Caenorhabditis elegans: one gene and its partners. The gene in region 2 interacts genetically with the main gene of each other region. Each region holds a gene or a part of one and is shown on either strand. Other genes may lie near its edges.

What was found.
Region 1: of efl-1 (region 2) and swsn-3, changing one enhances a phenotype caused by changing the other (phenotypic enhancement), as found in Caenorhabditis elegans (one large-scale study listed by BioGRID).
Region 3: of efl-1 (region 2) and pha-1, changing one enhances a phenotype caused by changing the other (phenotypic enhancement), as found in Caenorhabditis elegans (one large-scale study listed by BioGRID).
Region 4: of efl-1 (region 2) and trr-1, changing one enhances a phenotype caused by changing the other (phenotypic enhancement), as found in Caenorhabditis elegans (one large-scale study listed by BioGRID).

What each region holds. Positions count from the first base shown.
Region 1 is NC_003281.10:2,762,679-2,771,132, forward strand, and holds swsn-3 (HMG box domain-containing protein), read right to left. Parts: upstream 6,002-8,454; 5' UTR 5,988-6,001; coding exon 5,946-5,987; intron 5,894-5,945; coding exon 5,687-5,893; intron 5,642-5,686; coding exon 5,576-5,641; intron 5,527-5,575; coding exon 5,335-5,526; intron 4,564-5,334; coding exon 4,475-4,563; intron 3,656-4,474; coding exon 3,453-3,655; intron 2,190-3,452; coding exon 1,972-2,189; 3' UTR 1,332-1,971; downstream 1-1,331. Other genes in the region: ATP-dependent RNA helicase laf-1, read right to left, coding at 8,173-8,354.
Region 2 is NC_003283.11:16,958,749-16,967,793, forward strand, and holds the start of efl-1 (E2F/DP family winged-helix DNA-binding domain-containing protein), read right to left. Parts: upstream 6,928-9,045; 5' UTR 6,926-6,927; coding exon 6,778-6,925; intron 6,732-6,777; coding exon 6,601-6,731; intron 6,554-6,600; coding exon 6,444-6,553; intron 5,786-6,443; coding exon 5,635-5,785; intron 4,847-5,634; coding exon 4,703-4,846; intron 1,650-4,702; coding exon 1,415-1,649; intron 314-1,414; coding exon 204-313; 3' UTR 1-203. Other genes in the region: fbxa-90 (F-box domain-containing protein), read left to right, coding at 8,166-8,236, 8,284-8,923.
Region 3 is NC_003281.10:11,129,192-11,137,944, reverse strand, and holds pha-1 (F-box domain-containing protein), read right to left. Parts: upstream 6,147-8,753; coding exon 6,099-6,146; intron 5,487-6,098; coding exon 5,095-5,486; intron 5,043-5,094; coding exon 4,921-5,042; intron 4,852-4,920; coding exon 4,683-4,851; intron 2,708-4,682; coding exon 1,963-2,707; 3' UTR 1,268-1,962; downstream 1-1,267. Other genes in the region: fbxa-128 (DUF38 domain-containing protein), read left to right, coding at 1-109, 854-1,060.
Region 4 is NC_003280.10:11,671,941-11,678,315, forward strand, and holds the start of trr-1 (Transcription-associated protein 1), read right to left. Parts: upstream 3,988-6,375; 5' UTR 3,917-3,987; coding exon 3,779-3,916; intron 3,732-3,778; coding exon 2,946-3,731; intron 2,892-2,945; coding exon 2,593-2,891; intron 2,548-2,592; coding exon 2,424-2,547; intron 2,380-2,423; coding exon 1,261-2,379; intron 1,216-1,260; coding exon 829-1,215; intron 768-828; coding exon 392-767; intron 338-391; coding exon 1-337. Other genes in the region: C47D12.2 (Dymeclin), read left to right, coding at 4,370-4,512, 4,562-4,708, 4,765-4,973, 5,032-5,119, 5,167-5,408, 5,471-5,958, 6,009-6,125.

The DNA of each region.
Region 1 (8,454 bases), on a different chromosome or scaffold from region 2:
TAATATTTGAAATTGGCGTAAAAAGTGGAATAATACGGCGGTTATTATTTTAAAAAATAACAAAAATTGAAACATATCACCTTCTGGGAAGGCCTGGAAGCTCGAAACTTCCACAAATGTGCTGAAAGTTGTCAAGACCGACCAAATTTAGTTTTTCTACCTTGCTTCAATGAAAATTATCAAAATTAAAACATAAAATCGAAAGGATAGTTGAAAACTTGTCCAGGAACAGAGGAAAACTGGATTTCCATGTGCAAAAATTAAATACCCTATCTCCGCGAAAAGTGATCGGATCGAGCTGTGATTTGAGATTTCATTTTAAATCATTCTATAAATTCTAAATTTAACGTAAAAACCGGAACGATAGTGGAAAGTTTGTGAATTTTATGGAAAAATGTAAATTGTTTGAAAGAAGTGAGCAAGACTAACGGAGATTTGACCGAAACAATGGTGAAAACACACCAAATATGAAAAGGGGAGGTGGGTGTGTGTGTGTGAGAAAAGGGGGGAGGTGCAGAAATTTTGGCAAAACTTTAATTATCGTTTTTAAAATAAAGAATAGAGATATCACAATGAACTTAGATACAGTGGATAGGTATTGAAAAGGAGAACTTAAGTTTCGAGTCTCAAACGTTTTGAACATAAACTCGAATTTTCCTTCAATTTAAAGTGGTTTTCGACCAGTACTTCGGTGTGCGCAAAAACAAGAGGGGTGTGGTTTTCCGCTTGTGGAGCCGACAGGATGCTCCCAAATCAACCCCCTTTTAGATGAACACACGTCGCTATATTTTGTGAATGTAGAGAAAAAAGAATTTCAAAAATCGGTTCCGTGAGAGCCGAGATATAAACGTTCAAAATTGTATTACATTTTTTCGGACATTTTTTGAACATTTTTTGAACACCGAAAACGCGTGTATGAGGCAAGATGGGGGTTTTAGGAAAGAGGCAGAAGCCTGAAATCTGCGATTTTTGGGATTTTTTAAAACATATTTAGATAAAAATTAAGCTCAGCCCATTTCGTGGCTTTCTGTTTTTCAAATTTTTGGGAATTTGTTTTCTACGAAATCTAATTTTTTAAAATTAGTTTTTTGTTGATTTTTTTCTAGTTTTTTAAACAAAAATTAACGAAAAAAAATTTTTTTTTTGAAATTTCAATGCAAAACGTGGGCGGGACTCAATAGGCCACGGCCATAAAATGGTCAGCCATTTTGTGGGCGTGGTCTACCAAGCCCCGCCCATTTTTTCGAACATTTCACTTTTTCGGAAAAATTGTTTTTTTTTGTTTTTCTCTTCAAAAATTTAAAAATTTTCCCGATTTTTCGACAATTTTTTAAAATACATATATATATATATATATATATATATATATATGAATGTGTATTGTTGATAATTTGATAAGAACAATAAATGAATAAATAAAAAATATAGGAGGAAATGAATAAAATACATAACAAAAATCGAGAGATTCTGTGTGAAAATTGGTGAAAAGAGGATATTGGAAGAGGGAAATTCGAAAAAAAACACAATTTTTTTTTCGAAAAATGGCCAGAAATGGGCGGAGCTTAACTTTTTCGGTTTTATTTTTTTTTAAATTTAAAAAAAGCGAAAAAGCTAAGAAGCCACGCCCACAAAATAGACAATCGCGGATTTTTTTTTTGAATTTTTTCAGAATAATTTTGAGATCAAAATAAAGCCTCGTCCATTTTGTGGGCGTGGCCTAACCATTTTTTTTTCAATTTTTTGGGGAATTTTTTTCTGCGAAATTTAATTTTTTTTCGAAATATAATGAGATATTTTGCGTTTAAAAAAATACATAAAGCCCCGCCCATTTTGTGGGCGTGGTCTGTTAGGCTCCGCCCATTTTACGGGTAAAAAGGTGGTGTTTTTCAGAGGCGGAAAATTAAAAAATAGGGTAAAAAAGTAATAAATTAAAGATTTTTGTTGGTGAATTTAAATTTCCCGGGCGACCATTTATTCTTCCATTTTTTCTTCCGGCTTTTCCTTATTTTCAGTAGTAGTAGTAGTGGTAGTAGTTTCAATTGCTCCATCATCTGTACTTGGCTCTGTGCCAGCAGCTGGTGTTTCTGTGCTCTCCGCCGGCTTCTCCTTGACATTTTGCTCTTTTTCTTGCTCCGGCGTCTTCGGTGTCTCCTCCATTACCAAATTTCTTAACAGTGGCGCTGAATTCGCTGAAAAAATTGGAAAAAATAAATGATTAGCACACAGCACAATGATGATTGATCACTTTTTGATAAGAATGCTGCGTGTCCCCGCAGGGGTTTTTTATTGAAAATTTTGAAAATTTGGTTAAAAATTCCAATAAAAACCCCCGGCGGGGACACATTTTTTACACAAAAATTCGCAGAAAATGTGCCCCCGTAGGGGTTTTTTGCCGAAATTTATGACATTTTTGGGCTAAAAATTTAAAAAAAAACGGTTCAGAGGCTGAAAATGTGTCCCCGCAGGGGGTTTTATTGGAATTTTGTACCGAAATTGTTAAAATTTCAATAAAACCCCCTGCGGGGACATATTTTCTGCCATTGAACCGTTTTTTTTTTAATTTTTAGCACAAAAATTGCTGGAAAATGTGTCCCCACAGGGGGTTTTTATAGAAATTTTCGACAACTTTGGTCTAAAAATGAAAAAAAAAGCCTCAATGGTTGAAAATGAGTCCCTGCAGGGGTTTTTTATTGGGATTTTTAACCAAAATTGTCAAAATTCTAATAAAAACCCCTGTGGGGACACATTTTCTGGCATTGGACTGTTTTTAGCGCAAAAATGGCAGAAAATGTGTCCCTGCAGGTGTTTTTATTGGAACTTTCTACAAATTTTGGGCTAAAAATTAAAAAAAAACGGTTCAGAGGCTGAAAATGTGTCCCCACAGGGGTATTTAATAGAATTTTTAACCACAACAGCCAAAAACTTCAATAAAAACCCCTGTGGGGACACATTCCCAACCATCGAAGCGGTTTTTTTTTTCAATTTTAGCCTAAAAATTGTCCCCACAGGGGTTTTTATTGGAATTTTTGACAATTTTGGCCTAAAAATTCGAAAAAAAACAACGTTTTTTTCACATTTTCACCGGAAATTTGCGATATTTGAGCTAACATTCTTCAAAAATCTCAATAAAATCGAATTTTTCAGCGTGTTTTTTGCAGATATTCACAATTTTGAGTTGATGTTTCAATAAATTTCAAATTTTCAATTAAAAACCCTGTGCAAGGGGGACACATTTTCTGCCAATGAAGGTTTTTTTTCACTTTTAGCCTAACAATTGTCCCCACAGGGGTTTTTATTGGAATTTTTGACAATTTTGGTCTAAAAAATTAGAAAAAAAAAACTGTTTTTTTTTTCAGATTTTCACTGGAAATTTGCCATTTTTTAAGATAAAATTCTTCCAAAATCTCTCAATAAAATCGAATTTTCAGCGTGTTTTTTCTCTATATATTCACCATTTTGAGTTGCTGTAGTTTCCTGTTTCTTCTTATATTCTTCATAAGCTGTCGCAAGCTTCTCCTCCCATTCTTTAACAGTTTCCTCAAACTTTTCCTCATCTACAACTGGTTTTTCACTAACAGCTTTCTTCAATTGCTCTTGGAAGTCGTCACTGCCCTTTTCGATGGCTCTTTTTCGATTGTCATGGGCTCTTTCCAGTCTGAAAGATGGATAATTTGGGAAAAAAATCGATTTTTAAAGATAATTTTTAGATAATTTTTTGAAATTTATTTGAATTTTTAACTCGAAATTTCAGATTTTAAAGCTTAAAAAATGTAATCTTTTAGAAATTTTAGATTTTTAAGCTTAAAAAAATTATTTTTTTTAGAAATTTCAAATTTTTAGACTAAAAAATTGAATTTTTAAGAAATTTCAGATTTTAGGCTCAAAAATTCGTATTTTTCAGAAATTTCAGATTTTAGGCCTAAAAATTCGATTTTTAGATTTAGATAATTTTTTTGAATTTTTTAACTCGAAATTTCAGATTTTAAGCTTAAAAAATCCAATTTTTTAAAAGAAATTTCAGATTTTTAGACTAAAAAATGTTTTTTTTAGGAATTTCAGATTTTAGGAAAAAAATTTGATTTTTTTGAAGAAATTTTAGATTTTTAGGCTTAAAAATTCGAATTTTTGAAGAATTTTCGGATTTTTAAGCTTAAAAATTCAATTTTTCTTGCTATTAGAATTTTCAGAATTTTCGGCTAAAAAATTCAAGTTTTCGCTTTTTTTTTTGAAAAAAATAAATTATTTCGATTTTTACGATAAAAAATCGATTATTTAATCCAAAAAATAACATTTTTTCGGTTTTTACTCCAAAATATCTCCGAAAACTGAAAAATTACACATTTTGCACATGTAAAATTTGATTTTTTGCTGAAAATTTCAATTTTAAGATCAAAAACTGCTCAAATTCCGTGAAAAATTGGGCAAAAAATCGATTTTTACAGCATTTTCATAGTGAAATTGTATCAATTTTTACTTTGTGAGCTCTTCTTCAAGTTTGCTCTGATGAGTACCAAGAGATGTCGCCTGTCGCTTCAACATCTCCATTCGGTGGTGTGGAACTACCTGAAAATTGGGAAAAATTGAAAATTCTGGAGAAAAATAGAGAAATTTGAGCTTTTTGAGCAAAAAAATGCAGTTTTTTGTGATTTTTTCTTGAAAATTCATAGTTTTAAGCGATTTTTCTTTGAAAATCCTAGTTTTCCGAGATTTTTGCTCAAAAAATCCAGTTTTTTCACGATCTTCTATCGAAAAAATCAGATTTTTTAAAACGATTATTGCCTGAAAAATTCAAATTCCCTTCGAAAAATCCACTTTTTAACGATTTTCATTGAAAAAATTCAGTTTTTTAACGAATTTCACGACTCAAATGCTCAATTAAATGGATTTCTCTCGCTTTTTCCAGCTTTGTCAGTATTTTCAAGTTAAAATGAGCAATTTTTGCTCAAAAATTAAATTTTTTGTGACTTTCGCGTAAAAAATCCACTTTTCAAACGGTTTTTGTCTGAAAAATTTAATTTTCATTCGAAAAATCAAAATTTTCCGAATTTTCGTAGCTCAAATTCTCGTTTTAATGGATTTTTCTCGCTTCTTCCCAGCTTTTTCAGTGTTTTCAAGTCAAAATTAGCATTTTGTGTGCAAAAAATCCAATTCTCTGAGATTTTTGCTAAAAATAAGCAATTTTTAACGATTTTCGTTTAAAAATTCAGTTTTTACGATTTTGTTGCTGAAATGCTCGCTTTAATGGATTTTTCCCAGCTTTTTCAGTATTTTCAAGTCAAAATGAGCATTTTTTGTGCAAAAACCCAATTTTTCAGGATTTCCAGAATCCCTTACAGTTCTTGTATCAGTAACGATGCTCGGCGAGAACAAATCACTAATCAATCGATTATTTCGTTCAAATCTGACACCCGCAAGACGTCGGGTGCTCAATTCATTGCCACCGTCATCCTCGTCAACCGGTTGAATTACAACTCCGCCAGCGTCCATTCGGCTTCTCGACATTTTTTCGTTGTTCTTCGCGCGTCCCTGGAAGAAAATGTATTTAAAAATGTATTTTTCGGCTGAAAAAAGTCACTTTATTAATCATAAAATTGGAAATTCCGTTTCCTTGGAAATGTTTCATTTGTTTTTCGTAGTCTGCCTGAAAAATAATCATTTTTTACGGGAATTTCTCGTTGATTTTAACTTTTTCAAGCTCATATTCATGTTGATAATGCGATTTTTCACCGTCCGGAAGGTCCAACCAATACTTTCCAATCATTTTTCCAATATCCCAAAGCTGGGCTTCTGGATTCTCGGCGCGAACTTTTGGCCACATCTTCCGACTGTATCGCATGTAGGGTTGAAGTGGTCTTTCTGGTACTTTTGGACCACGCGATGACATATCTTGGAACTGAATTGGTGATTTTTTGAATTTAAAACCAAATTCTTGCGTGAAAACTCACATTTCTCGCCGGTGTGGCTTGCGGATGACGGAAAGATGACATTTTTCAATCTGAAATATTAAATTTTCAAAAACTAAACAGAAATTCGACTGGAAAACCCAGAAGAAACACCAAGAAAATACAAAAAAATCGATTTAATTTGAAAATCCCCTCAATGTCCAGTGGGGCGCGCTTGCTCATTGTAGGTGTGGTTTTGTTTGGCAAGCCTGGCACGTGGTTTTTGCAAGAGTGCCGCACGTGGTTTTTTTTTAATTATTATTTTGGAGAAAAAGCCAAAAAAAAAGGAAAAAAACATCAAAAAACATGAAAATTGCTGAAAAAGCGAAATTTCATTAATTTTCCAGGAATGGCAAGCCAAAAAGGAGCGCCGACGTCAAAAAGCTTGTACTTTTCGCCGATTTTACTGTATTTTTCTGTTCTGGATTTAATAAAAACTCGATTGGAAGCTGAAAATTACAAGAAAATTAGGAAAACTTTCAGAAAACATCGATCAAATGAAAATCCAATGAAAGACTGAGGAAAACTATTAAAATTGGCAGAAAAATTCAAATTTCTGAAAAAGTTTGCATCAACTGAATTTTTTTTGCAAAAAAAAACATTTTTTGTGTATTAAAATTTAAATTTCGCGCCGAAAAAGTGTTGTTTTTTGGCGCGAATATTGAATGGCCTAGTTTTTGCAATTCGGCCACCGCGGCGATGATGGTAGGTGCGCCAAAGAGTACACTAAATTTTTTGTTTTAATTTATTCATCCAATATGATTATTAAATAGTTTTTTTCGAAAAAAAAATAGAGAAAGGAGGGAAAATCGGGGGGGAATACCTAGAAAAAGCCAAAAAAAAAGGGGTCAAAATTAAGAAGATGTCTGTGGAAACCCGTCGCTACAGATCGAGAACTTGTGAACGTTGCACACGAGATTCGATACCTTCGGGGGGATGTGCTTACAACAAAAAGATGAGCCACTGAAAAACAATAGAGCACATTTTCAAACAGTGTGTGTCACAGGTGGGGGAGAAGAAATCTGAGAGAAATGATGACAATTGAGAGAATATTATCACTCTATAGGACATTATCATAATAATTATGAGTAGTTTTCGAGAACTTTTCACAGGAAAAACGAACGAACGAAAAATCAACAAATAAGTTACTACCTAAAAAGAAATTTTGAATTTGAATTAATAAAATATCCTATATATTTAAAAATTGTCACAATTAAAGTTCAAATACCAACAAGTTGAGAGGGTGATGCATTTGATATTTGCCTTATAGCGCCACCGTAATCGCCTGCCTGGTTATGCCTCATAGAGGAAACCAGGAGCCGTACGGGAAGAGCCAACAAAGATAGGCAAATTTTCAATTTTTTCGGGAGCTGCAGCACAAAACAACGTGGACAACGCGACACACACACGTAGGAAAAGTAGTGGGGGTGGGGGGACTTTTTCGAGGCACACACCACTTTTTTTTAGCGACGAGCAGTTACAACAAACTGCTTAAGGAGAGGGGGGGGGGGGGTGGGGGTATGGGAATTTTGCTTTAAAAAATCGAAAATCTCGCAAAATTTGGTTTTTTGGGATTTTGTTTTGAAATTTAAAATCGCTTTTAATTTTGGTCATTTTTTTGGGGGGAAAAAAAAAAGAATTTTTCCAATAATTTCACAAAATTGGAACTTTTTCCAAATTTCGAAAAATCTGGATTTTTTTTTCAAAAATTGTAAAAGGAATTTTCCAAAAATTTGAAAAAAATTGGAATTTTTTCAGAATAATTGATTTTTTTTCAAAAAAATCGAAAAATAGTTTCCAAAAATTTCAACAAAAAAAATGATTTTTTTTGAAATTTGTTTAAAAAAATGGAATATTTTTCCAAATTTCAAAAAATTGGGTTTTTTTTTTGGAAAAAAATCGAAAAATCAGTTTTTTTTTCCAAAAATTCCAAAAAAAAAATCTAAATTCTCGCAAAAATTCGGTTTTTTTTTTTGGAAATTGTGTTCAAAAATTGATTAAATTGGAATTTTTCGTTTTCAGCAACAAAATTTTGGCGAAAATTGAAAAATTGAGTTTTTTGGGACTTTTTAAAGCAAAAACAATGGGGAAGAAATATACTAAATTGGGTGTAAACATTAAGATTTTTGGAAAGAAAAAAATGGGGGAAAAATGAAAAAAAAAAGAATAATTTTTGGAGAAAAAGGAAAAACGATTAAAAATGAGTGGGCGAGAGACATGGGCGAGTCATTTAACTCCACCAATCCTGTTGAGGCTGAGCACGTTGCTGTTGTTGCTGTTGGCGACCTCCACCACCGCCTGACTGGAATCCACCGCCTCCACCGGAACGTTGTCCACCGCCTCCGAAGCCACCGCCGCCTCCGTTGCCGCCTCCGCCGTTTCCACTTCCACCTTGATAACGGTGATCGCGACCTGGAATTTGATGGTTAAAATTTTTTTTTTGGAAAATTTTTTGGATTTTTTAAAATTTTCGATTTTTGCCACTTATTTAGGAAAAATCAATAAAAATTCG
Region 2 (9,045 bases):
GGGATAGAAATTGAAATACGTTAGGTTTTCTCCAGAGGCACATTATGAATTGTGTGGGCACTGTGGATGGGAAAATAATAACATTTGGAGCCGAAACATCGATAATTTTTTTGGGGAAAAATTTGGAATTTGGAGTAAATGAATAGATGTAAAATGAGAAATGGTCGCAGAATTCGAAATTTAAAAAAAAAATATTAAAATAATTAATCTCCGTACAAATCGACTATAGAATCTCCTCGATACTCGTCTCCGGTGCTCGAATAAACGTAGTCATCGCTGGCCGGTGGTGGCTCCAGATGCTTCATCGCTGGGACTGAAAAAATTGGAAAAGTAACATTTTTTTTGCTGTAAAAAGCTCTTAAACTCAGAAAAACCCACAAAAGAACCACGGAAAAAAATCTAGAAAACTTCCAAATGCGACCAATCAGCGATTCACTCCGCCCACTTTTCAACCAATCAGAAGAAGTGGGCGGAGATCGAAGACGCTGATTGGTCGTGGATTTTGGAGGAAATGCCAAAATTTAAAAATCAAGCATTCTTTCGGCATTTTTTGTGGTTTTGTGGTTCAAATTTTGATTTTTGGTGAAAAAATATTTTTTTTTTAAATTTGAAATCAAGACTAAGTGAAAAAGTTTTTTTTTAATACTAGCAGTTTTTTTAAAATAAATTTAAATTTTTTACAATTTCAGCTCATAACATTTCGGAAAGAAACGTATCGCCTTTTCAATTAAAATTTTCTAAAAAAAAAATTTACAACAAATTTTTCGGATTTCTGAACACTTTTGAGGAGTTTTAGGGTTTTGAATTTTTTTTTAGAAAATTTATTTAAAATTTAAGTTTGTGGGGCAAAAAATGCTGGAAAAACGTTTTTTTTTCAAACTTTTCGTTCATAAAATGCGAAAAATAAAATTAAAAAGAAGAGGTAATTTTCCCAAATTTTCCCAGTTTTTCTGTAATTTTTAAAAGAATTTTATGTAATTCAGTTTATGCTTTTTTTTGTGAAAATTTTCTCAAATTTTTTGGCGGATTTCTAGGTTTTCCGGTTTTTTTTTTCAATTTTTTTTGTTAAAAAACAGTTTTGATGTTTTTTTCGCTTAAATTTCAAATTTTCATGTGAAAAAATCTGAGAATTATTTTTCGATTCGAAAAACTCTAGAAAACGGTGCAGAAAACAAAAGGAAAATGTTTTTTATCAGAAAAAGTAAATTTTTTGGATTTTTTAGCTTCGAAAAAACGTCCATAAAAGTCCAGTTTTTTTGGTGTTTTCTTGGAAAAAATGATGATTTTTCCAATTTTTTTTTTCAAAATTCTTCATTTTTAAGCTATTTTTTAGCTACTTTCAGTGAAAAAAATCCATTTTTTCTCAAAATTCTGCTTTAAAAAATAAGCAAAATTTCCAGCAATTCAGCAGCACCTTTCTGCTCAAAACCAAACATTTCATCATCATTGATCGTCCGCCGATTCCGATATCTTGAATCATCCATCATTTCATCTGGAGCATCAGCGTCAACGTGCTCTTCACCAGGCCGTTTTGCTCGTTCTCTCTGTACAAAATCATGTAGCTCATGGTTGGAAACGATGGCGGCTCGGAGGGGTCCAGAGGGATCTTTCAGGTAACACCAAGATGGTCCACCGTGTATCTCGACTTGCTGCAATTTTTTTTATTGGAAAAAATGGGGAAAAAATAAAAATTGAAAATTTTCGATTTTTTGTTGAAAAAAAAAATTTTTTCCGGAATTTTCTAAAATTTATCAAAAATTTTATAAACAATTTTTTTAAAATTTTTATTCTGATTTTTTTTTAATTGTCTTGTTTTTTAGAGCCAAATAGAGCGAAAATTGCGTTTTTTTTTTTGAAAATCTTTTTCAGTTTTTTCAGGAATTTTCTGAAATTTATCGAAAAAAAATTCTGTGAATTTTAAAATCAATTAAAAAAAATTTTTTTTCTGATTTTTAACAAAATATTTTGAAAAAAAACTATTTTTTTTGTATTTTACGACAATTTTATGAAAATCGTCAAATTTCCATTAAAAAACCGCCAAATTGTGCGAAATTTACAAAAAAATTCTGCTTTTGCTGAATTTAAGAAACAAGTGTAATTTTTTCAAAATCTTTTAGAACAAATAATTTGTAAATTTTTAGAATTTATTTTTCGTCGTTTTTCAGCCAAAAATTTATTTTTTAAATACTTTTTTACAAATTTGCATACAAAAAAAGCGAAAACTGAGAAAAAAAAAACACAAAAATTTTTTGTGTAGATTTACGCAGCTTGTGTAGTCCCCGAAGAGAAGTTTTTAGTTTTTTTGGCAGAAATTTCGGTTTTTGGACAGTTTTCTAGGTTTTTATGCATTTCACATAGAAATAATGCTTTTTTTCGATCAAAAATCGACTTTCTGCAATTTTTTTAAAATTTCATTGGAAAAAATGGGGGAAAATAAAAATTGAAAATTTTTTTTTGAAAAAAAAGAAGATTTTTCCGGAATTTTCTAAAATTTATCAAAAATTTTATAAACAATTTTTTTAAAAATTTTTATTCTGATATTTTTTAATTTGTCTTGTTTTTTAGAGCCAAATAGAGCGAAAATTGCGTTTTTTTTTGAAAATCTTTTTCAGTTTTTTCAGGAATTTTTTGAAATTTATCAAAAAAAATTCTATGAATTTTTTAATAATTTTTGTTCGGATTTTTTACAAAATTTTGTGTTTTTAACAAAATATTTTGAAAAAAAGTCTATTTTTTTGTATTTTACGACAGTTTTACGAAAATCGTCAAATTTACAACAAAAAAAAAATGAAAACTCGCCAAATTTTGGGAAATTTACAAAAAAATTCTGCTTTTTTTTTGGAAAAAAAGAGCATTTTTTTCCTTTTTTTTTTTTCTAAAAATTGAAAATGTTTCTTCTTTTTTTTACGTTTTTATTTAATTTTTTCGTTTTATCAATTTTTTATCCAAAAAAAAAATTATTTGTGTAGATTTACGCAGCTCGTGTACTCCCCGAGGAGAGGCTTTTACACTTTTTCAGCAGAAAATCAAATTTTTTGAAGAATGTTCGTTATTTTTGCTAAAAATCAGGGAAATTTAAGAAACAAGTGTGATTTAAAAAAAATTTTTTAGAACAAATGATTTGTAAATTGTTTAAAATTATTTTTCGTCGTTCTTCAGCCAAAAAAAAATTTTTGTTGATATTTTTTACAAATTTGCATACAAAAAAAAAAGCGAAAATTGAGAAAAAAAACAGGAAAATATTGTGTAGATTTACGCAGCTCGTAGTCCCCGAGGACAAGCTTTTACACTTTTTTGACAGAAGATTCAGTTTTTGGGCAGTCTTCTATTACGGGAACAATATATCATGAGAATGCGTACTTGGTGCATTTTATTTGACGCGCGATATCTCTTAGCGAAAACTACAGTAAGAACTCAAATAACAATAGATATTTAAGCATTTACTGTATGTAGTTTTCGCTAAGAGATATCGCGCGTCAAATAAAATGCACCAAGTACGCATTCTCATGATTTATTGTTCCCGTAATAGGTTTTTATGCATTTCACATAGAAATAATGCTTTTTTTCGATCAAAAATCGACTTGCTGCAATTTTAATTTCATTGGAAAAAATGGGGGAAAATAAAAATTGAAAATGTTCGATTTTTTTTTTGAAAAAAAAGAAGATTTTTCCGAAATTTTCTAAAATTTATCAAAAATTTTATAAACAATTTTTTTAAAATTTTTATTCTGATTTTTGTTTAATTGTCTTGTTTTTTAGAGCCAAATAGAGCGAAAATTGCGTTTTTTTTTTTGAAAATCTTTTTCAGTTTTTTCAGGAATTTTCTGAAATTTATCGAAAAAAATTCTGTGAATTTTAAAATCAATTAAAAAAAATTTTTTTTCTGATTTTTAACAAAATATTTCGAAAAAAAGTCTATTTTTTTGTATTTTACGACAGTTTTACGAAAATCGTCAAATTTACAACAAAAAAAAAATGAAAACTCGCCAAATTTTGGGAAATTTACAAAAAAAAATTCTGCTTTTTTTTGGAAAAAGGAGCTTTTTTTTTCTTTTTTTTTTCTAAAAATTGAAAAAGTTTCTTCTTTTTTTTTAACATTTTTATTTAATTTTTTCGTTTTATCAATTTTTAGCTGAAAAAAATTATTTGTGTAGATTTACGCAGCCCGTGTACTCCCCGAGGGGAGGCTTTTACACTTTTTTTAGCAGAAAATCAAATTTTTTGAAGAATTTTCGTTATTTTTGCTAAAAATCAGGGAAATTTAAGAATTTTTAAAAAATTTTTAGAACAAATAATTTGTATTTAAATATTGTTTAAAATTATGTTTCACCGTTTTTCAGCCAAAAATTTATTTTTTTGATATTTTTTTTACAAATTTGCATACAAAAAACACAGAAAAATATTGCGTAGATTTACGCAGCTCGTGTACTCCACGAGGAGAAGTTTTTACACTTTTTTGACAGAAATTTCGGTTTTTGGACAGTCTTCTAGTTTTTTATGTATTTTAAATTAAAAAATTCATTTTTCTCATCGAAAATTCTTAAAAAGAATTAATTTTGAGCAAAAATCAGCGTTTTTTTCAGTTAAAATCGGGTTTTGTACCCGTTTTTTCCAAGAAAAATATGAATTTTCCACAATTTTCCAGGTTTTTCCATTAAATTTTCATTGAAAATTCCAATTTTCGCGTCATTTTCTTCTCTACCTCCGGATCACTGAGCCGAACTTGTGTGCCGACTCTCGTTTGAATTCCAATCGTAAGATCTGAGCCTTGAATCTCGGCGAGCTGTGAACGGAGCACATAGCTGAGCTTGTTGTTCTCCACGGATTCTGTCATGTTTCGGAGGCTCTGAAATTTGAGAATTTCAGCGGTTTTGGCTTAAAACTGTCGAAAAATTGACCAAAAATTTCAAAAAAAAATTGTGGAAAATTTGGCTCAGATTGCCTGAAATTTCCTATAAATTTTCAGAAAAATTGTCCGCAATTTTAATGAATTTTTGACCATTTTTCAGCGAATTTTCCAGAAGTTTTGACTGAATTTTTAAGAAATTTTCTGCCAAATTTCAGCAGTTTTGGACCAATTTCAAGCAATTTTTAGCCGAAATTTCCAGAATTTATTTTACAAAATTTTCATCATTTTGGCACCATTTTTATCTTGATTTTCTCGAAATTTCATCCATATTTTTTTCAGAAAATTGGAGGAAATTTTGGCAAAATTTCAGCAGTTTTCAACGATTTTCAGACTAATTTTTCAGGAAGTTAAGTCAAATTTTCAGCTTTTTTCAGCGATTTTCAGCCCCATTATTTCTAAATTTCGGCTCAATTTTTAATGATGTTCAGCCATATTTTTCCAGAATTTTCGACTGAATTTTTCTATTTTTTTCAGGACTTTTTGGTTAAATTTTTTCCAATTTCCAGCCTTATTTCCAGTGATTTTTGCTCAATTTTCTATCAAAATTAGCCAGTTTTTGCTCAATTTTGATCAAATTTTTAGCGACTTTCAGCAAATAATTCTCAATTTTCGGCTGAATTTTTCTGAAATTTTTGGTCATTTTTCAGCCAATTTTTGCGTAAATTTGGCTCAATTTTCATCGATTTTCAGCAAATTTTTCATCAAATTTTCTGGAAATTCGCTACCTGCTGAAGCCATCTTTGACGTTGCTCAATGAGCTCTTCTTCCTTATTTAATTGCTCAATTTCAGCTTTTAATTGTTCCATTCGATCTTCTTCTTCTGTTGTGGCCGATTGTCGTTTCCCTTCCTTCACGTTTAGCATAAAATCACCGCCTCTGAAAACAAAAAATTGAGTTTTCCGGGGAAAAATGTGCAAAAAAGCGGTTTTTGAGCCGGAAAATAGAGATTTTCACCGAAATTGGAGCGAAATTGAGGCTATTATAGAAAAATTGGCTTTGAAAATGTAATTTTGTGTTAAAAATGACCTTTTCTTGTGTTTTCTGGCTGAAAACCCGATTTTCCACGTAAAAATCTGAAATTTTCAGCAATTTTCATGTTTTTAAGCTGAAAAATAAGGATTTTGCCACAAAATTGAGCTTTGAATTGAAAATTTAACTTTAAAAAGTGATTTTGTGTCAAAAATGAAATTTTCATATGAAAATTCGATTTGTTTCGGTGAAAAATCTCAAAAATTAGTGTTTTAGAAATCGAATTTATCGATTTTTACAGGAAATAGGAGCTATATTCCAAAAAATGTGATTTTCATCCATTTTGCCGGAAAGCGCCATTTTTTGGCTGAAAATGCGATTTTTCACGTAAAAATCTGAAATTTTCCGAAATTTCTTGCATTTTAAGCTTTTTGAGCTGAAAAATCAATATTTTGACACAAAATTGATTTTTTTTCTAAACATGTCATTTTTCTTGTTAAAATACGATTTTCCGCCGATTCATTGAAAAACGTCATTTTTCCTGCTGAAAATTCGACTTTCTTACTTCCACTGTATCATATTCTTGCTTCTTTTCTCAATAAGACCAATTCCTTCGAGAACATTCGTAATATCGTAGATTCGTCGCTTTTGCCGGACATTGAGCGCCTCGGCGGCCTAAAAAATACGAAAATTGCGAAATTCACGATTTTTTTCAAAAATACAGTGTTCAAATCGCATCTTCCATACGGTGAGTACTGAATCATTCGAATAAATCGTTTCGCCAACAATCCCAACGATTTATCGGCTCGTGTGCCCATTTGTGGTTGATCCAGGTCCTCATCCTCGTCGAAATCTGGAAATTTCGGGGTTTTCGGCTTAAAATTCGACAAATATTGTACCAAAATCAAAGTCAAGCTCATTGTCGAGCCCGAGCATCAAATTGTTCTTTATCGAGCTCTGTTTGGTCATTTCCAGCGCTTTTTGAAGCTCCATGTCAGATAATTGGCGGAAGCCGGGGTCTTCCATGTCGTTGTACGAGTCTTCCATGGCTGAAATGCGGAATTTTAGTTGAAAAATCCGATTTTTTGGTTAAAAATGAGCTGAAAAACGAGAAAAATCAAGAAAAAACGAGAAAAACCAAGAGAAATCAATTTGAATTCCCCTCCAAAATGCGAGAAATGATGAGGTTTCGTCACGGATTAGAGACAATGGGAAAGGTGGAGACGCAGACGAGAAAGGTGCAGTGGAGCGCGCTTGCACTCAAATTTCCGCGGGAAAAAGTTTCGCTTGAATGAGAAGATAAAAATGAAAGAAGTACGTGGTTTTTTGAATGTATAATAAGGGGAAATTTGAATTTGAAGACAAAAAAAGTTAGAACCCAAAAAAATTGGGCCCCGTTAGGTATTTGGCGGCAAAACCGTAAATTCAGATAAAATGGGGTTATTCAAGTAGTGTCGTGAAATTAACCATCACTTTTTTTTAGCCATCACTTTTTTGTTTTTGTGGGCTCAAATCAGTTTTAACAAAAATTGAATTTGTAAAATTTCGCCTCCTTTGGTATTTTCACGTGGTGTCAGGCTGTCCCATGCCGGTTTGATCTACAAAAAGATTGTGACGTCACCACGTTATTAAAGGTGGAGTAGCGTCAGTGGGGAAAGTGTTAAAAACTACTCCAATAGTGTAAAAAAGATCAAATATCATAATAAAACTTCAAAAAAAAATTTTTGGCAATTTACCAAAATTTTGAATACGAGCTTTTGAGGAAATTTAAAGAAATGTCGCATGTTTCGACCCCTACAATGTTTTAATACGAATACACATGAACTGTTTGAAAAATGGCAAAAATAATTGAAAATCTTCGATATTACCGTTTTGCCATCGCCAAATACATAAGAAGGTCTAACTAATAGTTAGGCTTAGGCTCAAAAATTTGGCCTAAAATTAGTCTCAGGCTTAGCCGCAGGTCTTAGCTTTCTGTTTAAAATTTCGATGACTGCTACGTAAATTTCGTATGCGACTCCTGAAATTTCTGGAAGTAAGACAGTGAAAAGCCTGTCTGAATACACATGGTTTCAAACTAAGACTACATTTTATTTAAAGCCAAGGGTTCAAGCTGTGCCTACATTTTACAGGTTCAAGTTGGCGGCCAGTTCTGAAACACCTTCGGTGTCTGATTCTCATACTCTCTAGTCAGCTGGTGCGCCTGCGTCTCTGCGCTGTCCAACTAGGCCACTAGTCACAGAGAACTGTGTTGAAATCACTTCATTTTTTCTTCAAATTTCTCAAAATGTCATCACTCTCCGACTTGCCAATCGAACTTATTGAACAAATTTTGAATAATCTGGAAGCTTTGGAAAGGTGAGTTTTCCTTGTTTTTTTAAAGAAAAAAAGCATTGAAAATTCAGGCTAATCGCTCGAAAAGTGTCCTACAGCTTCCGAGCAATAATCGATAACCTCGGTCCAAATCTGAAGACGGTTCATGTAAATTTTCATGAAAAATTTTCAAGACTAATTCTCGATGAGAACTACGGCGGGGTTACCTATGAGCAAGTTGATGGAGCCTGCCAAGTTGAATATAAGAACAGTGGCCGAGTACATGCTGGAAGGAACCACGTTGAAATGTTGATGGAGGACTTGAAGAGCTTGGTGAAGTACCCTGAAGTTGATGAATTTCTGATACAGCTGGCTACCAACAATTTTAATGAAAGAAAAATCATTTTAAAGGCAATTGAGTCATTTTTCGAATCCTTAAACTTCAAGTTAAAAGCGAAAAAAGTGATTATCGATGACTTCACCGCCCGTGAAGTTTCTGAAATACTTCAGAAGTTCGAACCTGAAATTCTCGAAGAAATAACTCTCCAAGCTCAATTCCTAAAGTACTATGAGCCGATAAATGGCGTTGTGGAACTCGAGCAATGGAAGAAAGCTAAAATTCTGAACAACCGGTCCAAGTTTCTGATCCCTATTAAGCATATTGTAAATTTCACTCAATTTGACATAAATGTGAAGGATCTGACGACGGATGATGCATTGGAGATTAGAGATGTGAGTCGAAATCTGGATTTTTTTAAAGACTAGGGCTTCCATGGGGGACAGACGCGGTTTTAGGGTCTGGCGCCTGCCTTCAACCTGTCTGCTTGACACCGGCCTCTCGCCTTATTTCTACA
Region 3 (8,753 bases), on a different chromosome or scaffold from region 2:
TCATGGAGGGAAATTTTCTGTGGATTCTATACAACACTTGTTTCATTTCACAGAGTTTACTATCACTCTAGATACATTATCCACAGAAGACGCCATCAATGTTAGAGATGTAAGTGGTAGCCGAAACCTGGGCAGAAATAGCCGTTCGGCAAATCGGCAATTTGCCGGTTTGCCGAACATTAATTTGCCGGAAGTTTTTTGAGGGATGTTTTATAAGACGGAAACACTTAAAACTGTGCCTTTTTGAAATTTTTTGCTTAGTTTTCAAAATATATGTAGAAAAATTTATCGGATCTGTACAATTTTGCCGGTTAAAATTGAAATTCTGAAATTTCCAATAAAAAAGCCAAAAATTTTTGCAATTACCGTTTTCCGACAAATCGGCAACTTGCCGGAATTGAAAACTTACGGCAAATCGGCATCTTGCCGGTTCGCCAATTTGCCATAGGTTTTCAATTCCGGCAATTTGCCGATTTGCCGGAAATTTTGCTGCCCACCTTTTTATGATTAATCGACTTTCCGTAAAATCAAAAAAACATTGTTTCAAAAATATTCAAAAAATTAACAAAAGAAAATAGAACATTATGATTGTCGTATTCAAAAAAATTAAGATTTCAAGCTATTTTTCTAAACAATTTATTCAACTAACTATTCTAAAAGTTTTGCAAAACAGTGCAACAGAACAATTTTAGATTGCAACCCCTTAAAAATAAAATCTATAAAACACTTTAAAGAGAGCTGACAGTTAAACAAATCCTCAGGCGGCTGGAAAAATTTTATTTTTAAAAAAATTATGGATTTTGGCCCAACTAGTCTATCTCCAATATAATTTAGTTGTAAAATAAATTTTCAGGTGCTCGTCAAATCGTCCAATTTTTTGCACTGTTACATCCATCTCCCATTCTTAAACATTCAAGAAATCGCTACAATTTTCAAACCTGACTTTTCCAATCACTCTGCTGAAACATTCACAATGACACTTAAGGAAACAGTTAATGAATTTATTATTGACATGAGTCCCTACCACTTCAAGATTACCAATATACTTCATTCCTTTTAATCGGTTGTCATTCAATTTGATCTTGCATATTTTCGATAAATTTCTGGATTTTTAATGAAATTTTTAATGAAATTTTTTAGTACAAAATGCTTAAATACCTCTAGTGGCCCATAAAACCAACAAGAAAAACTTTCACTGTTTCCCCGTTGCTTTGAAATATTCTGCAAACATTTTTAGTTTTTACTACTTTTGTAACTAATATTGAAGAGTTCATTAAAACAGGAAAAGGCAAAAAAAACAAGGAAATATAATATTATAGAGATTACACATAATGTAAAAAAGGAGTGGGGTGCCAATAAAAGAGGGAAAATAGAAAAAAACTATGGAAGAAGTTAAGTATAGCTAGGTTGATTGTTGGGGTTATAATTGAACACACGGTGGGTTCTTGGCAGTAACAAATATTACGGGAACACTAAACTTTGAGAATGCGTATTGCGCATCATATTTGACGTGAAAGATATCTCGTAGCGAAAACTACAGTAATTCTTTTAATGACTACTGTAGCACTGATGTCAATGCCGTTAGAAACAAATTTATTCTCAAATTGCGATAGCGTTTTTTAATTTTCCTCCAATTTGTTCGTTTAGATGTTTTTTTTTAAGTTTTTATCCATTATTTAGAAAAAATAACGCAAAATCGGATCAGCGCTACAGAAGTCATTTCAAGGATTACTGTAGTTTTCGCTACGAGATATTTACTTTAGACACGTTGCGCAATACGCGTTCTCAGAATTCAGTAGAAATGAGTAGTATTTTTATGGATGTAATATGATTTTTTTGTCAAATACTGTTTCACTACTTGAGTTTTCACATTAGCAGATTTTTACTTCATAATTATCTATTTAAAGCGTATTGAAGTGGTAAAGAGTATTTGTCAAAAATGGTTACTAAATCCATGCGAGATTAGCAACAAATATAAAAAATAATCTTACAATTTGTTGACTGGTTGAAAAACTGATAACATTTTTCTGCTGGGAGATTTGCAGAACTGTCTGAAACGGTTTCGAGGTTCCAAGAATCAAATTTCTTCTCGAAATTTTCACGTAGAAACGAATCAATTAAAGGGGCATCTACTTCTTCAGGATATAATTTGAGAGATATATGCGAGTTAGGTTGAGCATCCTTTTGAGTCATCAATATTATTCCCGATATAAAATCTTCAACATTTCCTTGACTCATCATCTCTTGGCAAACTTCCTTCGAGAATCTTACAGTGATCTTATTGCTGGGAAAGATTCTGCGAGCGTTGGCAATAAAATTATCGAATAGTGATTTCCGATTCTTTATTTGTTGTTCGACTACTTTTGTGAGTTGTAGATCAATTTCAACGCCATCCAATGTGTATTTTGACCTTGGTTGAGTCCAGTAATCCACATAAAACTTGGCTTTTGGCACAATAAAATCAGTGTTACAATGGAAATAGTAAGGTATTGGTTGGTCTTGTCTTGGAACAATCTCCACAGTTTTCACATTCCATTTCTTAATCAATAAATCCAGAAACTCCCTTGGTAGAGAGTATCCAAATGCCTCCTTTTCGTACATATACATTAGAAAAATGGTTAATTTTGAGCATGTGATATTCGAATTGATAAAGTCTTCAACTACTGTCGGATCTTCTTTGTTAAGTATCATTAATTTGTAGAGTCTCCTGAAAATTCAGATTTTGCAAACTTATAATGAGTGAACCAAAATTAGTAAAATAGTTTTTGTTACTACAGTGCGTGTACTGCTTTTTTAAAAATTTTTTAATGAGAAAACTGAAAACTTTTAGAAAAGTTATTGTCCTCTTGCATTAAGCATCGTATTAACCTCGGATTTTTGAGTACATTTCGCGTAAAATCACGATTTTTCTACTATTTTCAGAAAAAATAATTTGGACTATAAGCGCAATTATGTATTGTTTTCCAAATCTGTGTAGCAAATTAAATCTTCATTCTAGCACATGTTTCACATTTTAAGACGTTAAAACTCAATAAACGCCCTGTAATTGGTACATATATCTTACAATAAACAATACTGAGAAAAAACGGTAAAACTTATTAAAGGTGGTGTAGTCGAATTTGAGACTATACTTAAAAACATTCACTATGCTCGTACAAGTCGATATGTAAAAGCGAAACATCACAAAAATTTTGCTAAAGGAAGTTATGAGCCTTCAAAGTGCCGAAAAAAATCTCTTCGTCCATCTAATTTGAATTTCGCGCGCAAATGAGCGCCCCCTCGTGTGTACTCCTCTCGGACAATCAAATAATTAATTTCTCGATTTTCGGCAATTTTCGTATTTTATCGTGATTTTTCATAGTTTTTTCGATGTTTTAATCGAATTAACGACGAGCCAATGTCTATGAATACAATTTAAACTGATTGATTGCCCAATGACACCTAAAAATAGACAAAACTCACATTTTATTGCATTATCCAGTTATTACTCCATTTTTTGAACTGCTTTACGTTAAATATTTTACAAAATATGATTTATTGTCTCTTTAAACATTAATTTCTAATAAAAACCCAGAATAGGCTCATTAAAGTACGAAAAATCATCTAAAATTGCTGAAAATCGAGAAATTAATTATTTGATTGTCCGAGAGGAGTACACGCGAGGGGGTGCTCATTTGCGTGCGAAATTCAAATTAGATGGACGGCGACATTTTTTTCGGCACTTTGAAGGCTCATAACTCGGTTTAGCGAAATTTTTGTGATGTTTCGCTTATACATATCAACTTGTACGAGCATAGAGAATGTTTTTAAGTATAGTCTCAAATTCGACTACACCACCTTTAATGGGCCTAATATAGTGTGAAACCTTTGGTCTTTTTTCAGAATTCGTTATATTTCCGATTTCTGCCCCTCCCCCAAAATTTTTTTGATATTTTCATTAATGAGACGTGAACTTTTTTGTAATTTCAGGCTTAGTATTGTTGTTTTCTAAGCTTAAAAATTGAAATAGTAATTAAAGAAACATTCACGTGTGAATTTAAATTGAAATATTGAGTGTTATAAAATTGAAAAACATTTGGGGGGGGGGACAGAAATCGGAAAAGTATCAAGAATTCTTCTTAATTATACGCTCTCTTTTTTGTTAGACTCATTTTAGGATATATAAATAGTCAGAGGATGACACTCACATTATTTTCTTCAAATGTCATAAACGTTGCTTGCAGCAAAAATTTGTGGAATTCGATCCAGGTGATCAAATTTTGAGGATGGTGTTTCAGTGCAAAAAGTATTAGAATGCTGATTCAAAATATAATACTTATTCCGTCTCCAATATGCTATTCTACAAAATTTTGGTCAAATCAACGTTTGAGGTATTTGTCGGCATTAGCCTCTGACTATTTTTTGGGGGATGGTTTGAGCTCTGGTTTTGACATGAGCTCATACAAAAATTGAAAATTTTCAAAATTTTCCCGGTTGTCGCGCACTACTGAATCAGAGTCTTTATCTTTACGTCAAAATTCATGTTTTTTTTTCAATCGTTGAGCTTCAACTTTAGATGAAATTTTCAAAACAATTGTTTTTTTTTTCAAACAACCTCTAAACTGTAAATAATATTTTCCGAAAACACCTGAAAATCGGCGATTCGATAATTTTATGTATAATTTTCTAGCTTTAAAACTCACATGTCTTTGACCTGTAAAACATCATAATGGTGTTTTAGTCTCAGAATAGCATTGAACATGTCATTTTGAACTGGTCCGAATACTTTGCAATTTGCAGCTATCTTTTCACATGGAATACATGTAGAAAAAGATATTTGATCAATACCAACAAATTCTTCAACCTTATCATCTAAAATTTCGAATACTTTAATGATTAAAGTTTAGTCACTTTACAAAACGATAGATAATCAAGACTTACAATCTGAACCTATCAATGATTTATGAATAACTTGATGAACATCGGTAATCATACAGCATACTCTTTTTGAGTCTTCGATTCGTATTTTGATTACCATAATCTTCATGGTTTGTTTTAAGAACCTGAAATGTAATGTACAACAAAACTCCTCGATTTTTATATTTTTATACCCACCTTGCATATTGGAATATGTTTTTCTTATTAAGCTTCACAGAATTCAAGTGGACTGAACAATCTGGACATGGAGAAATTTTATGGAGTCTGTCACAACGATTAAACTTGTGAAATACCACAGTTCGATTCTCTTTTCGAATCACATGAATGGCTGCCAAATTGAATGATTTGTTGACTAACTGAAAACTGGTTAGTCTTGGTTTAAATATTGTGTAACTACGGTGCAAGGGCATTAAGGAAACTAAATTTCCCGAGAAAATGGTTTCAGCAGAGAAAGCTCCCCGATGACTTACACGAAGCTCCAGTCGATTGTTTATATCGCCTTTCACATTTCTCAGAATATTGTCGACGATTGTTCGATTGTTAAACAATTTCAAGGCGAGATCATTGTCCTGAAAATGAGAGTTTTTTTAAAAGATAACATATTTTTCTATTTTTATTAATAATAATAACTTTGTTTCCTGCTATGTTATTCGCAAGGAGAAATCATCGAGCAACGTGATGAAAACGGTGTTTTCATTTCTTTGTGTGCCAATTTCGAAGATTTTTTGTGAACAAAAACAATAAAACTTTTCCTCTCAAGTTTTCCATTCCCATACGTAAATTGCAAAACCATTTTATTTATAATTGTTTCAAACCAGAATACTTTTGATTTCAAGCCGCCTAGGCGCTGAGAAAAATAAACTTTAAAAAAAAACGCTATACATATTTGATACCATTTGAAAAATGCAAATTTGGCACGCTCAACGTTAGGGTGTTACCATAATTGAGTCGCACCATGTACCTTTTTTTAATTATAGGGCTATGGTATTTAAATTCTCCTTTTGCTTTATTCAAGTAACCAAAAACATATATTTTAGTACAGTTGCGCGGTCATAAGGTGTATTAAAATACATTCCGTAAAATTACTTGAATAACTCGATTAAAAAGACACATTCATAATACAACAGGGTCATAAATTTGTTGATAAAAGCACCGCACCCTGTACTATAAGTTTTACTCACGTATAAATTTTCGAAAAGGATTGTGCAGCTTGAATTAGGAGTATTCATTAGAGATTAACTTTGACTGATTGTCTGAAAATAAATAAATAAATAAATATATATATATATATATATATCATTTACTATATATAAAGCGCTTATTCTGTGTGTCCATAGTTTGTAGTCTATGTAGTCTTTGTAGTCTCAGAAGTTTTGGCTTCTGGAGGGATAGTTAGTTGGGGTTAGTGTAGGGATATAGTCGGGGTACTGTAGTGGTACAATAGTGGCACGGTAGGAATACTGTAGGGTTACGGTAGTTTCAGAAAAAATTAGTTTTAGACCCAGAAGTCGGGGGCCGCGCCAGAGGTGGGGTCCACGGCTGGTATGTATATATATATATATATATATATATATATATATATATATATAATATATAATTTTAATGGAGGTATAGCAGAAAAAGAGCAATAACTCAAAAAATATGTTTTGTTGGATATTTCATTTTTCTCGGTATTTGTTTTTTTAAAAAAAAGGTTTCTAAAATTAAACTATCCAATTTTGAAAATAAAATTGATTAATTGTGCAGCAGATGCATGTGACCCCCAAATGTTTCCGATGAATAAACCTCCGTAATGGTCAGCAATAATCATTATAAATTTAGAAGTCTTTTATAAAATGTATAAAATAATCTAATAAACGTTTATTATACTAAGAAAATATTATTCCAAAACCTAACAGCGAATGTAAATATTTCAGCTCGATTTTACACTTTTAAAATAAAACCTATTGCATTTGAAAGAAGAGTTTTGAAATATGTCACTACAAAAAATTCGAGAAGCTCTTTGGAAAATTTTTTTTTGAGAAAAATAGGAACATTTTCTTGGTCGAGCTATGCTTCTGTGTTTACTGCCAACTTTCATGGAAGTTTTGGTCTGAATAACTTTGGTTAGGATTGTCTGGAAATAATTTTGCAAAAAAATTTATAAGGTGCTAAAATGAGCGAATATTATAAAAAAGGTTTCAAATATACAAATATATGATCAAAGTAACTTATTTTTTTAAAAAACACTTTAGTAAATAGGAACATGTATGTACATACTTACTATAGTAAAATATGAGGGAGTATAAGAATATTTGCCGTAAAAACTGAAAAGCAATGTTATTGAGAGTAAAAAAAGTATCTAAAAAGCCATTTATATTTGAAACGTCGGTATTTAATACATAAGAAACTAATGAAGAGTCTACTCCGCAAACACTGCACAATGGAAAAAAGTGGGAAAGGACCTATAGCAGCGTAATAGATGACGTCATATACTATTGGCATTGGGTCGTTACTTTTTTTTTCGGCTGTCGGCTGACGCCGACAGCCGCACAGCCCTGGTGGACAGCTGCATTAGAGACCCATTTCTTTTCAAGTTGTATTTTTTAGTAGGAACAACTGAAACAAGCGATTCCAATTTTAATTTTTATAGCTACACATTTTATATGTATGTAAATATGTTTTATATATTGATTTTTCAATCAAAAAAATTATTTTACAATTAAAATTAACAGGGACAACAAATATAGGGCCAGCAGATCCAGGGTGATAAGGTGAAGAATTTTTTTTTTGATTTTGTTTCAATAATAAATACGCTAATAAAAAACTTAAAAACAGCTTGAATTTTCGAGAAAAATCCAATTTAAAAATGCGACTACTGTAAAAATTAGTGTATGTACGTAAGGTTTGCCCCCCCCCCCCCCGTGAATACTAATTTTCGGACAACTGTTTAGATGCAATACTACTAGAGGGTGCAAAACTAACAGAGGATGCCATATTTATTTTCGAGCAAGGCTTTTCTGACACAATTTCATCAATTTCAATAACAAAAATCGGACCAAAATAACACATTTTACCACTGATACGCGAAAATCATCTAAGTTGTACTCATATTTTACCAACTTTGACTTGTTACACCAAGTCTGTAAGAATTTCCCTGATTTATAGAACAATGCTATACTTCAAATTTTAGAGCCTCAATTATAGAGAAAAAATGAAGGGGTATAATTGCATGCAACACTATTAGAAGAGCAACACTATTTTTCAAGAGATAATTTTGATACAATACTAATAGATACACCTTACTAACATTGGAATAAGGTAATTAACAAAAATAAAATGAAAAAAAAAAACATAATACTTAAGTTTTCTCCTAAATTTTCGGTTAAATTGAGTTCTGTTTGAATGGCTGCTGCGGTGTCCACCAGAGCGCATTTTATCTACGTACTTATCGATTTTCTTCATGATACCCACTAATGTCTTTGTTCTGTATAACAGGAGAATGCAAAGTGCACCATGAAGAAGAAAAACCCTACTGTGTGTTTAATTGTCCACTTTCATAATAATGGAAAAATGGAGACATTAAACAGAAATACAAAATTAATTGTGAATAAATTGTGATCTACATGTGTCCTACTCAAACTTTTCAAAGAAACCCGGGAAATGAAGGCTGAACGGAAGGTAAGATATTTTCGCATAACTCTGCCTCTCATTGTCAAGCAACTCAAATCTAATATGAAAATATTAAATAGCAATATTTTTGTAGTTTGGTGATATTTCGAGATAAAGTCGCAATATCCCGAGACTCATTCGAAATATTTTTAGATTGAGCAATATTTTCTTTTGAGCAGTCTTTT
Region 4 (6,375 bases), on a different chromosome or scaffold from region 2:
AATTTGAACACCTTCTCCATCAAGTATTTGCACATTGGAACTTTCGACATTTGATCAATATCGGGAAGTGTAAGCGAGAGAGTCTCATTGATATGACGAAGAGACATGACACCAGCAATGATGAAGCTTGACGATGTTTCAGAGAGACAAATAATCAGAGCATCAACCATAACAGACGAGTCAAGGCACAATGGTAGAACACCTTCCTCTTCTGCATGACGCATCCATCCATTTCCACCAATGTATTCGAGTACTCCAATCAACGCAAACTGGCGGAGAACTTTGATAAAGAATTTGCTATAGACATGCCGGAAACCGTCTTTATTCCATATTCCGTCTGAAAAATTTAAAATATAGATCTGATTAGAGAGAAAAGAACTTAAGAACTTACAAGCCATTGCGAGAAGTGCATTCACAAAAAGCTCTCGATCACTTTCCCTCGGACATGTGTATACTTCAGTGGTACGATTGTTTGGATCAAAATCTTCAAGAAGTTTCTTGATAATCTTCGGAAGATTTGCACTTGGAGTAATTGGGCTTCCTGAAGATCCAAGTCCGGCTAACAAGACGGCTTTCGACAATTCCATACACCATTTCTTCATATGAGTTGACGGGATCATTGCAGGACTTGGATTAAGGATCATATCAGCTGGATATCTCATCTGATCGGCAACGACTCTCATCAACTCGGACAGTGGCAGGTGAATGCTGTGATTGCCATCGAGTCCCATCCGCGAGAATTCCATATTGATGTACGACTGAACAGTCTGTTAATAGGATCAATGTTAGAACTTAAAACGAGGAAGAGAATAAACTAAATAAACTTACGTCGCCTAAAGTGGCTACTTGAAGAATTTGCGGTTGATTCAGAAGTTTTCGATTGGCTCCTCCGAACTTTCCGAGGATCCTGAACGCTGCTGTCATCGATGATGTATCTGGAGCTTTCGATACAACACGCCAGAGGCCTTGCATCAAAGCTCCACGGACAGGAAGCATATTTTCGAGAAGATATTCAGGTTGCAAGTTATCCACACATAATTCCAATGTTCTCAATCCTTGTGTAACTATGTTCGGACTCCCATTCATCGCACACACCAGTGGATCCATCAGAAGCGGTAGGTATGGCAGAAGGGAACTGAGTCGAACTGGCACAGTCAAACACAACTCGACGAAGAGCTCACGCATTTGAATCCGATGTTGACATGACTGAAGATTCTGGATTTTTAGTGTATTACCGATATATCAAAAAATGAAACTCACCGTCAATTTATTCAAGAATTGAAGAAGATTTGGCAGTAACTGCAGGAACTTTCCATACAAAATATCCTGAGCGCCACCACCAATACTGCGGAACAATGCACGAAGCAAAAGGAAATAGTTGAGAGGTTCACGAGCTGTTAATGCCAAGACAGTTGACTGTTTGAGAATCTCTGGGAGGTATGAAGTGAGCATTTTATCTCCATGAAGCCCAGAGCCATTGGCTCCGATGGCGGAGAAGATAATTTTGAAGAGCTTCACATATAGCATCGTCTTGTCATTGCTAACTTCCAGCAATTTCATTCGAGACATCAAGAATGAAAGCATCGTAGATGCGAAGAATGGCACTTCATTTCGAACCAAGAAGGTGTTCACCATCAATTGCAATGGATAGTTCCGATTGTAAATTCTTTCAATCAAGAAATCCATATACTTTTCGAAGATTTCCCGGAATATCGCATGGTCGATTGTTGTAAAAACGTTTGCCAACGACTCCAGAGCATCTTTCTCATCTTTTGTCCGCATTGAAGAATGCATTTGTGGTTGATTTCGAGTTGTTGGAAGCACGAATACATCCATACACATTACACCATATCGTAGAAGACGTTCGAATAAATCTCGCTCCTTCGAACAATGATACATATCCTGTGATGGCCGGGCGATTCTCAATTGTCCTGTCACGAATTTACACGTATGCATTATATACTTCACAAGATTTCGAGCTTCAACAATTGCCAATGGAGGAGGTGTCATCGTTGACATGGCGGTTAAAATCGCTTCGGGAGACGTTTTCTTTCCCTCTTTTGTTGGCGGAGGAAGCTTGTTCGGATCTCCACCACTCTCATCTGCATCTTCCGACGTGGATGGTTCTGATGCCAGGAATTCCAGCTCTTCAACTGAATCAATGGAGAGCCGACGGATTCTTCGTTTCGGTACTCCTCGTATAGTGTCCTTTGGGATATTCATTCCAGGTTTCTCGGCGTCTCTCTCATAACTTTTGTATTCGTAGTCTATTTCGGTTCCGTATTGTTGGAAGAGAATAGGCATGTGATAGACTGCAAGAGTTTTGAGCTTGGCCACGTGCGACTCCAGGATTTCAATGAGCAGATCACGAGTCTGAAACTTATTTCGAAGTGAGATACGATTATTGATAGAATAAGTCTTACGGTATCATGTGAATCCATTTTGCACAGAGATTCGGCCAGTGAGTTGAGCAGCCGAGCAGACATAATCTGGACTTGAGAAGAGTTGTTAGGATCGTGAAGAGTGCGACAGAATACGAAAATCACGCTGAAATTTCAACATTTTTCATCAGAAAGTCTTATTCAAACTTACTGTGTGATCATTTCATAGTCTATAGAATTTCGCATGTGATGCAACAGATCTGCTAGCATTTGATACATGAAAACTCGCAAATGCTCAATCGCAGTGAATCCTGTTCCCAGAACAACCTCCTCAGCGATGAGTCGAGGTAGCATTGGAAAGAATTTCGACTTCATTTCTCCAGATGTGAAATACTTCAAAGCCATCAGAACTTCTCGTCGGACACTTATCAGATCAGCCGGGCACCGCTCGAGCATCTGCATTGTTCCCGACACTAGAAGCGGTCCATTTTGCATGATAAGATCCATAAACTGAAAAATAAAAATCAGGATTACAGAAAAAAAACTTGAAAAAACGAAACTTACCGCTGGAATCTTAGCCATAATGTTGACGAATGACAGGAATCGGGACTGTGCACTGACAAAATCATCGGTTATTATTTGATTTGTTTTGAGTTTATCCTCGTCTGGAACTCTGACATTTAGAAAATCAAGACCAAGCCTCATGAAATCAAGCGCTTCGGTTTGGATCGCTGTTTTGAAATGTTGATAGAAGAAAATCACGAGATACGGAACCTCCAGGAGCACCTTCGTTGACTGATGAGCTGATGGAATCATATTGTATTTTAATGGCGGTTTTCCTTCCGTTCCGTTGAGAAGAACCGTTTGTTGATAGTAGCAAGTCTTCAAATATTCAGTGATGACTTGCTCGTCGGAGCTAGTTGACGGTGGAGCTTTATGCTCTTTTATGTTGAACATATCACCAGCTCGACCACTCGCCGTCAGATCAATGACCATTGTTTTGAAGGAGACCATTATCTGTGAAACCTCTCCGCAATATTGCATTTTGCCGGTACTTCTCCCTTGATCGGTGACAATTTTGATAGCCAAATTGGCATTCTCCTCATTTTCCACGGTGATTAGCCTCATCATCTGCTTGATAATTTCTTTGCTATGATGTTTCATGGCTTCTACGTTCGAAAGTCGAAGAATGATTTCAAGCATTAACTTTCGAAGCTGTTGTGTATTGTTTTCAGCAATGAACTGTGGACTTGTGTTGCAGAAAACTTGTAGGAACGAGAGAATGAGCCTCTCCACGACTTTCTCGTGCGAACTTAGTGTGAAATGATTTTCGATTGTGCTCCAAATCTCCTGCAACCGAACAAATTGATTACTTAACACGAATTATTGAAACTAACTTGTAACATTTTCAATTTGACATCATCTCTTTGTGAATTATCGGCAAGATTTTGAATTCTCGTTTCCAGCTCTGTTAGGTGATTACTCCGATCGGACTGCACAGACCGATAGCCTGGAGAAGCCATAGCCGGATCCATTTTGTATTAGTGACCAGCACTGAAGATACTTCTAAACTATTGAGCTTTGTGCAACTATTTGAATAATTTATCTGAAACAAGATTTACGTGTTTAATTCACTAAATTGCGAAGGAAACAGATTATAAAATGAAGAATGGAGTAGAATGAACTATTAGGAAGTGAATGCAACAAGAAAAATCAGTCAGAAAACGCTGAAATTATCGGAAAACTGACATTATTTCAGCAGAAACAAAGAAACAACTAAATTTCAAACGAGAGCGAATTGTCTGCTGACGCGTATGTGTGTGTGTTGGCGCACTCGCGGTTGTTGGCGCATTTCACGTGCATTGCCACGAACGAGAGAGGAGATTTTATTGAATAAAAAAGATGTGACCTGATTAATATTTGACCCTTTCTTGACTTTTTCTTTTATTTTTATGATTATTAACAGTGTAATAACAAATTTCAGACACATGGGATCAGTTATAACCAAGGAAACGGTCTTACAGGAGAATATTTATCTGAAGAAACTCAGCGGTTTGGAACCTGTCGACGATTATGACCCATTTTGGAACAAACTTCTCTCTTTCAGTCTCAAGTTTGATGATGACGACGAGTAAGGATTAAAATTAGGCAAAAGCTTTAAAAATGTTATAATCGTTTAGAGACACCCGAATCGCTTTGGAATCTGCTTTAGATGATCATCTTCAATGTCTAATGTACAATACACAAACAACAGGAAATTTCGCTGCATTTATTCGACTTTTCCTTCGCAGAGCCACAGAACTAAAAACATCAGAACAATGCGAAAAGTGAGTTGGAAAAAAAAATCATCATTATATTTAATTAAAGCTTTTTCTTATTTCAGTAAAATCTACTTATGGCAAACATCAAACGCTCTTCTCATTCTTCGTTACATCGCCAGATTTTTAACTCAACGTATGACGGAAAAAGAATTCGTGAGGATTTTCGCCAAAAGTCATGAGAGTACGGAAACCGAATCGTCGTCTACATCTTCCTCGTCGGATGAGGAAGATGATGACGAACAGAAATCAGAAAACGAAAATAATAATGGAGGTAAATAAGCTTCATTTAAAAAAAAAATTCAATAATAATCAAATTCTGACGTTTTCAGCGACAAAATATATCCCGATAGTTTTTCAAAACACTGCAGAAGAGTTCACGTATGAGCTGGTTTCGATTTTAATCAATATTTCTGTAAAGTGAGTTTTAAATTATTTTTTAAAAAATTGAATTAAAATAATTTCAGCGAAACAACATTGGCAATCCATGTCGAAGCAGTTCGATGTCTCCTAACTCTCCTGAGCTCTCAACTATATAATGAATCAATTGTGAATACTTCAATTGTCTTCAGATTCTTTATTGATGGATCATGTGCGAAACACGCAGCTTCGCTCACTAAAACTCTTCTTCTCAATTATTTGATCCACAATTCAGAGTATCACATGACTGTACAAAAGCCACAAGAGAGCATTGTTTTTGGATTAGCTTGTATGTCACTGAAAATCTTTTTTAATTCTTTATTAAATTAAAAAAAAAACACGATTTTTAAGCATCAATGTGGTCAATGGTCCAAATGGCAACTGGTATCGACTCCGCAGAGGAAGAAAAGAAGCCCCCACTTACTCTTGGAAACTTAAGCATCCTGCTTCTCCTCAATCTTTCATGCCATCAACCTCTCAATTCATCCAATCCATTCAAAGAAACCCTTGCTCTCTTCCAAAATGCTCAAGAAGTATCCACATTGCCTACTCAGATTGTGTCGTTCAAAATCGATTATAATGGATTATACGAAAGATTGTGTGCTACCGCTGGCCAGGAACCTCCGATGCTTCTACTCTACATGCTTCTACAGGCGAACTCGGGATTCCGGAACTATGTGTTGTCTCGGATCAACCTCGAGAATCTAGTTGTTCCTGTTCTTCGAATTCTTCACGACGGTGTCGCGACATCGAACAACTCTCACCATGTTTATCTTGCATTGATTGTCGCCTTGATTCTCAGTGAAGATGATATTTTCTGCAAGATTATACACGAGACGGTGAGTTTTCACTAGAAATGCTAAGATTATATTGAAGTATATATTTGCAGATGATCAAGGATCTCGGCTGGCTGGACAGTGATTTCAGTGTCCGCGAGATCTCTCTCGGAGGTTTGACAACTCTTGTGCTGGTTCGAGCAATTCAGAAGAATGCTTTGAAAACTAGAGTTAGTTGTTGCTACCAAGGGTGTCATTTTTCAATTTTTTTTTCGATTTTTTGACGTTTTTCAGTGGAAATCGAAAAATCGAAAAAAATGTTCAGAAAATTAACCATAAAATATGATTTTTTATCTAATTTTGTTTATATTGATAAGAACAAACATAAAAGTTTCATCTAAAAAGAAGAATAATGGCCAATATATCAAGCTCCTTTTTTAAAAATCGAAAAATCGAACAATTGAAAAAGCGAAAAACCGA